2 linked regions of the Stegostoma tigrinum genome follow. The protein of the gene in region 2 purifies or fractionates together with the protein of the main gene of each other region. This does not show direct contact. Links are inferred from orthologs where the notes say so. Each region holds a gene or a part of one and is shown on either strand. Other genes may lie near its edges.

Region 1 (6,939 bases), on a different chromosome or scaffold from region 2:
AAAAACCAAAACAGAAAAATGAACAAAGCTTCATTGATTCCATTAACCACAATCTGATATTTATAGACCAACTTCAACTGTTCACCATCTGGTAAAAGCTTGATGACAAACTTTGTTTACATCTTAATCCAGCCACATTTCAGCTTATTAAAGTTATTCCCATGAATAAATGCACCCACACTTGAATTTCTACAGTTCAGTGACCGAGTTAAATACTGACCTCACTGTACAAAGCAAATTATCCTGTTATAGCCTTGCTAATAAGTATAACAGGATGAGATCTTTGGCCAGGATTTGTTTGCAGCAAAATAGCACAAGCTGTTTGATGGGGACCATATATTGTTGCAGTTTATTGGAAAAAAGGCAAAGAAACAGGTCAAAGCATCAGAATTAAACCTTTCAAAAAGTTTCACACCAAGGAAATTGCAAAATGCAGTGGTATATTAAGAAACACTTGGCAGCTGTTACGTGATCAATGCCATTAGACAGAGCTTTTTAATGCTGGACAAACTATCTTCAATGGTTAGCTAGGGATCTTTGCATTCCCAAATTAAAAAGACAAGTCACACAGCCATTTAATACATTTTATTGAAAACTTCATACACCAATAGACAGAACAAACAGTCAGAACAAACCATCTGGATTTAAATCCACTTCAAAAATAAAAGTCATACAAGCAGTGAGCTCTTCCTGCATTTAAAATACTGCAACAGAGATGCTATGAAAAGGCAGTAACCAGGAAACAACTCCAGGTCACCCAGGTACAGTCCCACCTTGGAGGATATGGTCCCAGATTTGGCTTTCCCAGACTAGTGCACATGGAAGTTTGATTATTGAGCTTTACTTTTTAAAAGACCCCTCCCCTGAATACTATTGAGATAAAAATGTCTATGTAATCACATTTCAGAAGTCCAGTGTCTTTCCAGTCAGATCCTCCAACATTCTACAGCTGATTATTTGGAGATGGAGTCCTGAGACTAGTGAACCAAAAAGGAAGTTTCCACCATCAAACAGTCTTCTGTTGTCCTTTTTTGCCAATCAGGGATTTGTGAATGTGAGGAATGACTCCTGAAAACAAAAAGATAAATCAGCAGGGAAGACACCACAGCACAGAAGAACAATATTTTGTGGGAAGAGAAAATTCTAACAGTTGAGTGTTTATTGAATTAAAATGTTAACTCACCACCACCAGCAATGGTAGCCTTGATTAAGGAATCCAACTCTTCATCCCCACGAATGGCAAGTTGCAAGTGGCGAGGGGTAATGCGTTTTACCTTCAAGTCTTTGGATGCATTTCCTGCAAGCTCTAGTACCTGACAAAACAGGTAAGGTATTAAAAACAGCACTGCTGTTTAACAAACAAATTTTAAAAATTGAGTCCAGAGATCAAGTATTAATATAAATTTACTGCAATCAAGTGAAGGATATTGTGAATGTTATGCTTTGTATTGTAAGTGTAGGGAGATAAAAATAATAAAATTGTGGAGAAACTTGCCTGCATGGCAACATCAGGAAAGAAAGAAATCAGTTAATGCTTTGGAGTCCTCAATGTTCCCCCCTCTGAGGGAAAGTCAAGTGAAAACTTAAAACAGATAATAGGAACTGCAGATGCTGGAGAATCCAAGATAATAAAATGTGGGGCTGGATGAACACAGCAGACCAAGCAGCATCTCAGGAGCTTTTGTGCTCCTGAGATGCTGCTTGGCCTGCTGTGTTCATCCAGCCCCACATTTTATCTTGAAAACTTAAAACAGACTAGTTGTTGTTAGGCATTAGAGACCAAGGGTGGGGGGGAACTTCAACACAAGAATCATGAATTTTAAAAAGGGAGTAACAATCCAAGGTTTGAAATGCAGTTCAACTATTATCAAATACAATATCAAATATCACTTGTCAGGGGTAGGGAAACCATTTCCAAAAATCAAAGCAACCACATGCAGCTCGACTGAACAGGAGATTGCAGAAGGATCCCAAGTAGACACGACTGAAGATTTAATTATTAAACCTGAACAGTGAAGGAAATCATGACCAAAAATTGCGGACGCTGTAAATCAAACAAAAACAAACTGCTGAGAAAAGCTCAGCAAGTCTGGCAGCAACCTTTAAGAGAAATCAGAGTTAATGTTTCAGGTCCGATGACCCTTCCCCCGATAAGGGAAGTAATAAGACCGGAACCTTTCACTCCGACCATTCGGCAAGGCCGACTCCAAATAAAGCCGGAACACAGTCGCCTCGAACCCTACCAGCCGGCAACACGGAACATATCCGGTGACGGACCTGCTGGTCATGGAGCCGCGGCCTGTAACGCGCTCCCCACCCCCCACACACTCACCTCGGCCGTCAGATACTCCAGAATGGCCGCGCTATAAACCGCTGCCGTGGCGCCCACCCGCCCGTGGCTGGTGGTCCTGGACTTCAGGTGTCGGTGGATGCGACCGACTGGGAACTGTAAAAATAAATAGATTTAGAAGGGGGGGGAAACGAAAAGACGGCCGGCAGAAAACAAAAAGCAAACGTCCGCGACGTGAAACGCTATATTTATATGTTGGGGGGGGGGGGGGGGGGAGGGGAGGGAAGGGAAGACATTTCCGGCCGCAGCCGGTTCCCGGAGGGAGAAGGGGGAGGGGCGTGTTCTAAAACATTGAGAGAAGCGCCCGCCCGCACTCCCTCCTCTCGCGCCGCCCGTGCGAGGCTGGACCCTACTGCAGTCAGTCAGTGGGAGGGAGGCGGCGGTAATGGACGCGGGGAAACCGCACTGACCTGGAGGCCTGCTCGTTGTGAGCGGGAAACCGCTTTGGTCTTCGCCTTGCCGGAGTCTTTACCCGCTTTACCGCCAGCCTATCAGAGAATAGCAACAAGAGGTAAAAAAAAATAAAACCGGTTTGCGTCCTGTGGTCGAGATGTTTTTTTCCCCCCCCCCAAACCCCTGTCTGCGACCGCGGATCTGTCGCTTATTTTCACAAATTAAAATTAGACAACATTTTGTTTGCCTCCTCACCATCACCGCCTCGTATCCTCCGGCCCCGGATTTTCAAACCGCTCTGCGCTCCCGCCCCGGCGCCGCTCCTATTTATAGCCGGGCCCCTGCCCACATCCGGGCTCCGGGCTACCGAGCGGCGGCCAATCGGAGGGTTGGAGGGCGGGAGGTACGTACGTACGTGCGCGCGCACCCATCCGCGTACGTACGCGCCGCCAGTGAGGGCCCAGGAGGTTGGTGTGCGCGCGCGCCGTGCTCGCCTTCCCGGTGCACGTGGTGCCGCGGGGCACTTTGTCCGAGTTGCATTTTAGACATTGCGCTTCTCAATGAACTGTGGCTGTTGCACATGTGAAACAAAAGATACAAAGTGCCGGAGCAACTCAGCATGAGTGCAAAGTTAACATTTCCAGTCCGGAGACCCTTCCCCAGAAGAAAATACACCTTTTTAAAAAAGTTTTAGCCGCTGATAAACTGCCAAAAGGAAAATATGAATAGCAAAGCGCTGGAGTAACTCACGTGTGTTTGGCAGCATTTGTGCGGAGAGAAAGAAACACAGAGTCAACCGTTAGCGTCCGATATTGACTCATCTTTGAAGCTATCGGATTTGAAAGGTTAGCCCTATTCTAATCTCAGAGAACACAGCAGAAACCTTTTGAAGAAGGGCCTGGGCCCGAAATGTCAGCCTTCCAGCTCCTCTGATGCTGCTTGGCTTGCTGTGTTCATCCAGCTCTGCACCTTATCACAAAAGAAACAGTTTCGGGTCTGTTATGATTCCACAATGATGTGACTCTTTGAAGAAGAATCATAACTGACTCAGTACCAAGTTTCTTCAACAGTGTTTCTATTTCTACCATACAATGCCACCAGACAGTTTGCTGAAAAATTGCTTGCAACAAAATTCTATCTTCAAGACATGTCAAAATTGGGGGAAAACCTATGATTTCAATGTCGACGCATAGCTAGAACTCAAAACATGCACAAAGATAGATTTTGTGTATATATGAAATAACTTGCACTCTTAACAGCAACTTTCACAACTGTTGGTGCTTTGGAGCTCTTCAAGAGCCAAGAAAGTGCTTTGGAAATGCAGATGCAGTCAGAGTACAAAAGGTAAACAATCTGCACACAGTGTAAAGCTCCCACAGCACAGTAAATGGAGCAGAGAGTGCTTTTCGTGATATTGATTAAGGGATAAATGTTGGACCCAAGACATTGAGAAGAGCTCCCCTGTTCTTCAAAATAGTGCCATGAGACCTTTTACATCCCCTTTCATCTAGAAGACAGATGCCTTGCTCCAGCTTGAACTTCATGTTCTTTCCATCATTCAGGGTAGTGCTCATCGACGTGTGATACATACATCCAGTAATAGGGTCACACAGTCATATGAATAGACCCTTTGGTCCAACCAGTCTATGCTGACCATAACCCTAAACTAAAATAGTCGCATCTGCCTGCGCTTGGCCCATATCCCTCCAAACATTTCTTATTCGTGTACTTATCAAAATGTTTTTTGAACATTGTAATTTTACCCGCATGCACCCCTTCCTCTGGCAGTTCATTCCACATACAAACCACTTCTGTGTAAGCAAGTTGCCCCTCATGTCTTTAAATCTTTATCCTCTTAGCTTAAAAATATGCTCCTTAGTCTTGAAATCCCCCACCCTGGGGAAAAGACACCTACCATTCGCCTTTATCTATAGCCCTCATGATTTTATAAACCTCTACAAGGTCACCTGTCAACCTTCTATGCTCCAAGGAAAATAGTCCCAGTCTATCCAGCCTCTCCTTATAACTAAAACTCTCCATTTATTGTGTCTGCAACATCCTGGTAAATCTTTCCTGAATCCTGTCCAGCTTGATAATGTTCTTCTTGTAGAAGGACGACTGGACCAGAACATGTACTCCAGATGAGACCTTACAAATGTCCTGTACAACCTCAACATGACGTCCAACAGATTGAAGATAACAGCAGAGTGGCAGGGCAGTGTGCGGGATCTTGCCCGGGGTTGATCCGCTCCAGCCTGCTTTCCATCTTTTATTTCTTTTTACTGCTGCTCTTTTACTTTCATTTTTCTTTGGAGCCCTTTTGCAGCAGATTAGTCAGCGAGATCAGTGTGGCAGCTTTGACAGTGGTTTGGTGGTGGCTCCTGCCAGTGGGCACAGTTCTTCACAGCAACTGGAGGCCGTGGCTGCAGTGGCAACAGGGACGTCCTCCCGTATTTAGGGCTGGCGGTGGCAGCAAAGCTCCTCCAGCAAATGGAAGCAGCAGTGGCAGCAGATTTTAAGGTGATGGTGCCAGCGAGGTGATATCTTGCAGGAGGACAGCCAGAGCCAGACCCTTTGTGAGACGGTGGCCATGGCCTAGGAGTGGAGCCAGGGTCTCCGTGTTGCAGTATACCCAGAGCAGGGACTCTTGGCATTTGCAAGATGGTGGCTGCAGCGGCAGCAGTGTGGTATGCCTCAGGCTGGGACTCCTGGCATCATTGAGACAGCAGCAGAGCCAGCCTGGTTCTGGGTGCGTGTATGGATTCAGCACGTGGCCTGGCAAGGTTGTTCTAGCACCAAAGAGATGGCACTTAGAGTGGCAACTCCCACATCGATGGGTCTGACACACATGGCAGCAGAGGAGGGATGGTGACGCATGACTGTCTTCCAGTTATATTTTTCATCCTTTTTATTTTTAAACGATTGAAAATGTCACCAGATTGAAGCAACTGTTGAAACTTTTCACTGTATTAGCTGTAATCTACATGTGACGCAAACTTCAAAGAGTTCTGTATTTGAACCTCTAGACCTCTCTGTTCTGCAACACTACCCAGGGCCCCACCATTAGCTGAATAAGTCCCAGCCCTTGTTTGTTTTACCGAGATGCAATACCTTGCATTTATCCAAATTAAACTCCATCTGTCACACCTCAACCCATTGACCTAATTGATCAAGATCTCTTTGTAATCTTAAATAACCACCTTCACTGTCCGTCATATCACTAATTTTGGTGTCATCTGTGAACTTACTAACCGTGCCTTCCAAATCCTTATCTAAAATTATTTGCATAAATGACAAACAAAAGTGGACCCAGTACCAATCCCTGTAAAATTGACCAACAAATTCCAGTATGTACTGAATTCTGCACACCGTACAAAATTCACTGACTTATTCAGGTTAACTTAATTACTGGTAGAATTGATGTGTCACTATTATCGGACAGTCCCCTTATTAATACATTACCTGTTTTCTTTGCACAGAGGCTTACTAGCCTGTTCATCCAGAGTTTTCTGTGTTTTGACACATTTTTATCATTTGCAGGGGTTTTGGTTGCATTTTATTTGCCTATCGCGTTTGCCCCGTGATAAGTTTTTATATGTTAAGTTTTGATATCTTCTGGAAAATACCTTTGAATGATTTAAATATTACACGGGATGGAAAACTATTTCTGTTGAGTGTAAGCATAAATAGCTGTAGGAATGGGAAAAGCCAAGCTGGTTAGAATTGTGGTGACAAATGAACATTGGGAATAAAAATGCATTAAAAACTGTATTAAATTTTTACAAAATATTTCATTAGGATCTTAAGAGAACAATTGACAGACTGATCAGTGTCAGAAATTGAGAAATCAATCATTAGAACATAAAAATAATGATTAAATGAATTTAAATTGATTGTGAAAATTACGCGTTGAAAGATTTCTGCATTTTTAAACCTGTCTCAGTTACTGGAAAAACAGACTTGCAATTTCAGAGTGCCTTTCACAAATTCAGAATATCAGAACACCTTACAGCTGCAAAATACTTTTCCAAGTGTTTTCATCAGTATTCACCTTTGGAACACAGCAAACATGGCAGCCGTTTTGTGCACAGACAGATCCCAGACACAATAAATGAGGCTGCAACCGGGTAATATTTTCTTCAGTGGGATTTCTGTTAAAGTCGCACATCAATCCGAGAGGGTGGCATCTGCAGTTC
Region 2 (7,930 bases):
TTCTGTAGGTATACAAATATTAATAGTGAAAGGGTGGTTGGTAGAACCAGGATGGGACCAATCAGAGCCCAAAAAGGGGATTTATGCCTGGAAATTTAATGTCAGTCTTTACCAAAAGAAGAAATACTGTCCAGGTCGTGGTGAAAGGAGATAATTCAAATACTTAGTTTGAAATCGATGAACAGGAGGCAGTGGAGTCAGTCTTTTTATTTACAGTTGGTTAGGCTTCAGGACTGAATAAGAGAGATCCAAGGACACCAGAGATGGTGAGAATAGAAATTGGAGGCATTGACTATAATTTTACGATCTTTCTTTGACTCAGGTGATTATCAGAGAACTGGAGAATTGCAACATTTCTTTTAAATGTAAAGATGAGTTTAGCAACGATATGCGAGTCCTATAACAACGCTGATGGCAAAGCTTCTGAAACAATAATTCAAGACAAAAGTCTCTTGGGAAATCTGGATTAATTAAAAAATTCCAGCATAGTTTGTTAAAGGATAGCTTTGCTTAACTAATACTTACGTTTGTCTTTTGAAGAGTTAATTGAGCTGGTCAATGAGGATAATGCTGTTGATGTGGCACAAGTGGGTGTGCAGTCATTTAACACAGTGCCACACAACAAATTTTTATGAACAAAGTTTCAGCACTTGGAATAAAAGGGACAAAAATACATGGTTCTGAAAATGGCTGAGTGATGGGAGATAGTGTTCAGTGGATGTTTTTCTGACTGCAGGAAGATTTATGGCAGAATTCTCAAGGTGTGTGTATCAGACCATAAAGATATAGGAGGACAATTCAGCCATATGGTCCATTTGGGTTGCCTTTGCCATTTTATCGTAGCTGATATGTTTCTCAATTCCATTCTCCTCCCTCTCCCCTCAATCTACTTACTAATCAAAAATCTCTCTATCTCTGTCTTAAATGCACACAGTGACTTGGCCCCTGCCACTGAAAGCTGTTATGAATTCCACAGATTTATCATCCTTTGGCTGAGAAACTCCTCCTCATTACATTCTAAAGGGTTGTCTTGTCTATGATGCTATGCCCTTGGGCCCTAGTAGAGGGGGATGGGTCTGGTTGGGATGCTGAACAGGGGATTGGTGTGTGGCGATTTTGTGATTCTAGAAACACCCTCTCTACGACCATTCTATCTAGGTCTCTTAATATTCTTTTCAGTTTCATTGACATCTCCTCTCCCCCCCCCCCACCTCCGCCACAGCCTACTAAACCCCCAGAGTACAGACCTAGAGTCCTCAACTGTTCCTCTTGAGATTAGCCCTCCATTCCCCAGGATCATGCTTGTGAACCTCCTTTGGACCCTCTCCAAGGCCAGCAAATCCTTCCTTAAGACACAGAGCCCATAACTGCCCTCAATATTCCAAATGTGGTTGAGCCTTAGCAGTTTATTCCTGTTTGCTTTGTTTTCAAGCCCTCTTGAAATAAATAAATGCTAACTTTGCATTTGGCTTCCTAACTGCCACCTGAACTTGCGTGTTAAAATTAAGAGAAATAGTTTATGCCTCTTCTTCTTACCAAAGTACAAGACCTCACACTTTCTCACATTATATTTCATCTACCACTTCTTTGTCCACTGCTAGCTTATCCAAGTCCTTCTGCAGCCTTCCTGCTTCCTCAATGTGGCCTAACCCTACACCTATCTTTATTGCTAAGCTTGCAGATGACATAATGCCCTCCATTCCTTCATTCTGATCATTAATGTTGTTTGGAAGTATTATGAACATTGAAGAGAATAAAATTGAACTTCAAAAGTACAAAAATAGGTTGTTGCAATGGCCAGAAAGTTGGCAGATGAAATTTAATGCAGTGAAGTCAAGTCTAATTCATTTTGGCAGGAAGAGCATAGAGACAGAACAAAATAAAGGATACAGTTCCAAATTACCTATAGGACCTAAGAGATATGCACAAGTCATTGAAGGTGGCACGACCGTTTTGAGAACTCTTAATAAACAACAGTATCCTAGGCTTTATTTACAGGACCATGGAGCACAAAAGTAAAACTATGTTAAACTTCTATAACACATTGGTTTGGCCTCAACTGGAGTATTGTGACCAATTCTTTAAGAATGATGTGAAGATGTTGGTATAGCTACAAAAAACATTTGCAAAATGGTTCCAAGCATGAGGAACTAAAGTTTATTGCAGACAGTTGTATGGCTTTTCTTGAATGTTAAGAGGTAGATGGATAGAGATTTTCAAATACGGAGACTGGACACAACTGATGAAGGGAACACTTGCCATTGTGTAACAAAAGAGAGGGCACAGCTTTCTGGTAACTAGAAATGTACATTGGTGATGAAAGGATTTTGTTTCTGTATTGAGTGATTTAATATCTGGAAAATGCTGACTGAGATTGTGGTGGAGACAGAGATTGAGACAAACTTCAATTAAGGCTTTAAAGAGTGATTTGGATTATATTCCAAAAAGAAAATGTGAGATTACAGGGAAATGGCTGAGTTTCTCATTAAGAAATCAGACACTGGCACAACAGGCTGAATGCTCTCTTTCTGCACAGTAACAGTTGTGATTCTGTAGTGATGTGCTGGGACTGAGATGGTTGATTTCCAGAACTACAATCATCTTCCTTTCTGCAAATGTAACTCCAATTATTGGATAGTTTTGTCCCTGATTCCTGTTGACTGACTGCAGTTTTTTGTTAAGGCCCTGGTGTCATGTTGGTCAAGTCCTGCCTGCATATAAAGGCCAGTCACACTCATCTCTCATCTGAAATTCAGCTCTTGTTCTGTGTTTGACAAAGACTAACTAAATCTGGAATTCAATTCCTGGCAGGGCCCAAATTCTTATTGGCGAGTAGATTATTGGAACATAAGTGCTGCTAGATAGTGCTATTGATGATCCCTTCCATCAATTTGTCGCTGACTGTAAACTGCTGGTGCATTAAACAATGTAATCCGTCAAGTGATTCAATCATTTGAATGTCAGTAAAACGCTGTTTTCTATATTTATATATAAAGCACATTGGCAGCATAAGCTCATTGCAAAAATAGTACAACCTATTGAGAGTTACTAGATAACAAACTGCAAAATAAGATTAGCTTGTAAATGAAAAATTGGAACAAATGGAAATTAAATATTCAGTATACTTGTGTATCAATTCAATCTGATAAAACTCTATTGACGTTCATTACTGATTTCCAGAACAGACGTGGGAAATTTCATTAGTTGTATGTAGGTTAAATTAAAACTGAAGATTCAGCTGTCTGCATGTCTGATGTACCACACTTTGAAGTTTATAATTTTTCACCAGCAAATCACAATTTATTGATGTCTTTTAATGACTTTAAATATAAAAGTTTGATTTGGTGTTGTAACAAAAATGTAGTTAAATTCTGTACTTCACAACATGAGTTAATGTTTGGTTTTTTTGTTTTGGAAACGTTGAATTGGTGTGGAATCATTACAACCAAACTAGGTGCAGGCCCTTCAGCCCCTTGAACCTGCTTTACCATTCAATCTACAATCTATCCACTAACCTTTCACCCCTTTTGCTTAACAAGAATCTACCTACCTCTGCCTTTAAATGTCATAAACAATAGTAAATCACCGAGTGGCATTTAGATTTTTGTTGAAACGTCAATTTGCCTAATTGTGCATGGTGACATACTGTTTCAGAATAATAATTAAGTTTAAAAATGGTCAAACTTCGTGCTCGGATGAATTCAAAAACCGAAATCCCGTTTTATGGGCATTGAATTGTTTGATTTGATTCACGGTGTCATATACATTGCCAGATTTGCCTTGAACATCTTTTTGATTCGACAAGTAGCCTTACTGTCTCTGTGCAGTACAAACAATCAAGACTAGCAGGAAGCTTTGCAATTGTTTACGCCGAATTGCGCAATACCCTGTGACAGATTACAACCTGCCCATTGAGTTTTGAACTGTAGTTATTATTATGAGACATGTGACATTCCCCTTTTCCCAGCAGACCATTTAAAAAAAACCAAACGCTGGCACTTCGTGTTGTAGAGGGCGCCGTTTCCAACAGCTTCTTGTAAAGTTGTTGTGACTGAGGGTATCCATGTTGTGGCGTAGTTGAATTAGGAAGCGAACAGAAACGATGGAAAAAAAACTTGGAAGGGAAACGAAAAGACAATAGTCAATCGTTGTGATAACGACTTGTGCATTTCTTTCAAAAAGAGGAGCCAAGAAACGCAGGCTCGGACTGAAAGCGAAGTTTTGTTTTCCGTGGAGCCGAAAACACAAATATTAACCGGGTGGGAGCGGGGGAGGAGAATTCGAAAACATTTTCAAAAGGGTGGGAGGAGAATGGGAGATGAGGTTTTATACAGCATATCCTGCAAAAGGGAGGGGGTGGGCTGCTTGACTCGCTGCTAGGCGGGGGGGGAGAAAAACAACCCGGTAGAAATCCAAGGCAGCCGTTAGTGCCGGGTGCCCAGCGGAGCAGCAACATTCTCCTCCCGCACTAACCGACCGCCGGCCGGTTGAAGTGGGGGGGGGGGGTTGTGGGCCGTTGCGCGCGCAGCTCGGCCGAGCCTCGTCCCTGTTGCTGTGCATTGTGGGATGGCTGGACTTTAATGACCGCCATGTTGGCCATGGCGTATTGAAGTCGACAAAAGGAACCTAAACGGACCGGGGGAAAAACCGCCTTTCTTCCGTTTCCAACCCCCGTTTTTTCTTCACGGAATGGAACTAGGATCTCCAATCTTTCATCCATGATAGGTTTCGGGAGGCTCCGTGTAGGTTTTACTGGGTGTAGGCGTCAACATTTCATCGGCGACTAAAAAAAACGCATTTTATATATATATATATTTATATTTTCCTTCCAACTACAACCTCCCTCCCTCCCTCTCTCCTTCCCCTCCCCTCTTTCTCTCTCTCTCTCTCCCGCGGTGGTGTTTGGGTTTCTAATCCGCCGCGAACACGCACATACAAACCGAGGGAGAGCCGAGAATAATGAGCAAACTGTCGTTTCGGGCAAGGGCGCTCGATGCATCGAAACCTCTGCCCGTGTATCGGTGCGAGGATTTGCCGGATCTGCACGAATATGCCTCCATCAACCGAGCGGTGCCCCAGATGCCCACGGGGATGGAGAAGGAGGAGGAATCGGTAGGTGCACACGGGGCGGGTTTGGTTGTTTTTTTAAAAAACATGCCCGTCTTTTTTTGACGAAAGGAGTTTTAAAAATCATTTTATTCGGACGTGTTTTGTGGCCTCGGGGGAGGGGGGGTGTTAGTGGTGGGCTGGTAGTTGGTGGCGGGAGGTGTTGCCTGTGTGCGCAGGTTGCGCGGCCGCCATTACACGGCTCTCGCTCGCTTCCTCCCAAACATGGGGCCGGGCCGCGGAAACGGAGAGACGGGCCCCGGAACCACCCACACTTTATTCCTCCGCTCGGGAGGGAGGCCGCCCTCCTTGTTTCTTTTTGTTATTTTGAAACAATCGAAGGTCCTATCCCGTTGATTTTTCACCCCGCTGAGCGGGTGGGCGAGAAGGATATTGTTCCTTGTCTACGAAAGATATTATTTTTACCCCCTCGGTGTACAAAAGATCACGTGACTGGCGAGGCAGCCATTTTGTTGTGTTTCTCTCTGGGTTGGGCACGATCTCGGCAACAACCAACTCCAGTAGGAGGGTGGCGCTAGAGAGCCTGAATTTTTTTTGCCTGGGGTGTTGGGAGTTGTGGATTATTGTATTGTAGACAAATTTGTATTTCACTCAGTTCTAGCTCCCGTATATATGGGCGTTGTTTTTATTTGCTCTCTTGTTTTATATGTTCCGTGTGTAAGTTGACTTGCAAAATGGTGCTTCACAACATCTCGCTGAACAGAGATCATTGTGAAAGTATCACTGTTTTTAATCTCAGCACGTGCGCCAGTTGTGACCTGTTGTGCAGTTCCCGAGTATGGACAGCGGGAAGACTCCTCCTTTATAATGCAGATTACTACTACAGCTAAGTTTGTGCAGAGACCGTGAGACTTATAGTTGTTTTTCCGACTGTTTTATTCCACATCCGTCGTATCCACAGTTAGTTTCATGGGTGACATGCAAAATTAGTTTATTGTGAAGCAATAATGTGAAGTGTAACTTATAAGAATTCTAGCGGTTGAATGTCATCGTGTTTTTGAGGCTTTTGGAAAATCTCCCACATCGTGATCTGTAAAGCAAGATGTTACACAGATAGTTGCAGTTGTGAGGCTGTCAAGGTGAAAAATAGTCATAGTTTCAGATTCAGTACCATAGTTATGGTTTGTATTATGAAGTATACTGAACTTGTCAGGCAAGGAGCTGGATTAAAGTCAGGATGGCTTATTATGTGAATAGGATTCTGTTAAAGTCAGAAATATGATATTGCTGGAACTTGGCATTAATCTAATCTAAATAGAGGAGCAGTGAATTCTTTAATTACTGTCACCTAACCTTGCTGATTTGATAGCAATGTACCATTAGCCAAATCTGTTATTACCAAATAAATGTTCTTGCATGAAATTCTGAAGTTGCTGTTAACATCAGTGCATAGTTAATTGGGGGCTCAAAATATTTTCAACACCTGGGAAATACAATATTGCACTTCCCACAGTTTGAATGAGCTTACTGACACAATTAAACAAAATGCATTCAAGCTATTACTTAAGATGACAGTCTACTGGATGTACATCAGTAACTAAAATATGGGGTTGCAGACAGAATACCTCAAAGGAATTCATTTCAACTCATTGGCAAACTACAGTACTGGTCTTCATTTGTGGATATCTGGTTCTACTTCCTTGTGTTTGTAGTCTGTAACAGAAAAAAAGGTTTTTTTTTCCCCTGATGAAGTGTCTAGGCCCGAAACGTCAGCTTTTGTGCTCCTGGGATACTGCTTGGCCTGCTGTGTTCATCCAGCTCCACACTTTGTTATCTCAGATTCTGCAGCGTCTGCAGTTCCTATTATCTATGTATCTTAAGGTTAGGATTTTAGTTTTCCAAAAAGATTCTTATGCCTATTTGTGCTTGGCTTTGTGAATCAGATGCTCAAAATAAGTAAACGGAATTAATTTACATTGCACTGGTGTTTTCTGTTCCAGCAGTTGAAAACCTTTGCTATGCACTACTTTTCAAATGTGGGGAAACTCGAGCAACAATGTCATACAAGGTGCAACAATAACACTGCTGTTCCAGTGATTTTTGATTTGGGCAATAAATATTTGTAAGCAAGGGCAAATGCTTCTTTTATTTTAGATCTTTTGATATGCACTTGTTGTACCACTCTTTGACGAAGTTGATACGCTTGAGTGAAATTCCACATGAGAATTTTTATTGTGATTTATTACCTGTCAGTGCGATATTAAACACCAACCCTGTTTTAGGTGGATGTGCCACATTTTTCACATGAAACCTAAAATCAGACTTCCACGTGAATTCTGGGCTGAATGTAAAGAATTCTTTGACGTAAGTGTTGCAGGATGGGGTGGGAAGATCTCTCTCCCTGCATTGTGGCAAATGTTTAACCCTCAACTAATATCCCCAAATAGCTTAATTGGCTTTCTGGAGTCCAGAATCCTTGAGGCACATGTAAGGTTATTATACTGAAGAGGGCAGATAGTTCTGCACCAGTGTCAGCAGAGCTTCTCCACTCTCATTTTTGCAGTGACAGTTTGTGGTACCAGTTATAGAGTCAGAGATGTGGGATGGGATGAATAGCCAAGGTTTTTTTTTGCCAGGGTAGAGAAACTCAAAACTAGAGGGCATAGTTATAAAGGTATAAAAGAGACCTAAGGCTCATCTTTTTCATCCAGAGGGTGCTCTGTGTGTGTGTGTGTCCATTGGAGCTGGGGCTATCACTTTGAAATATGGTTCTCATGTTTGTCTAATTAGGTATAAATAATGTGATCAGAGCTTTTGTGCTCCTGAGATGCTGCTTGGCCTGCTGTGTTCATCCAGCTTCACA

What was found. The genes of interacting proteins can lie anywhere in the genome.
Region 1: the proteins of enhancer of polycomb homolog 1-like (region 2) and histone H2A.Z purify together in Homo sapiens (affinity purification with mass spectrometry; 4 studies listed by BioGRID and IntAct, with this or other methods). This does not show direct contact. The link is inferred for Stegostoma tigrinum from reciprocal best matches to the Homo sapiens genes EPC1 and H2AZ1.

The regions. Positions count from the first base shown.
Region 1 is NC_081354.1:4,080,831-4,087,769, reverse strand, and holds histone H2A.Z, read right to left. Parts: upstream 3,098-6,939; 5' UTR 3,002-3,097; coding exon 2,999-3,001; intron 2,839-2,998; coding exon 2,761-2,838; intron 2,447-2,760; coding exon 2,333-2,446; intron 1,314-2,332; coding exon 1,184-1,313; intron 1,069-1,183; coding exon 1,007-1,068; 3' UTR 571-1,006; downstream 1-570. UniProt on the Homo sapiens protein: Variant histone H2A which replaces conventional H2A in a subset of nucleosomes. Nucleosomes wrap and compact DNA into chromatin, limiting DNA accessibility to the cellular machineries which require DNA as a template.
Region 2 is NC_081355.1:128,371,954-128,379,883, reverse strand, and holds the start of enhancer of polycomb homolog 1-like, read left to right. Parts: upstream 1-4,885; 5' UTR 4,886-4,959; coding exon 4,960-5,112; intron 5,113-7,930. UniProt on the Homo sapiens protein: Component of the NuA4 histone acetyltransferase (HAT) complex, a multiprotein complex involved in transcriptional activation of select genes principally by acetylation of nucleosomal histones H4 and H2A.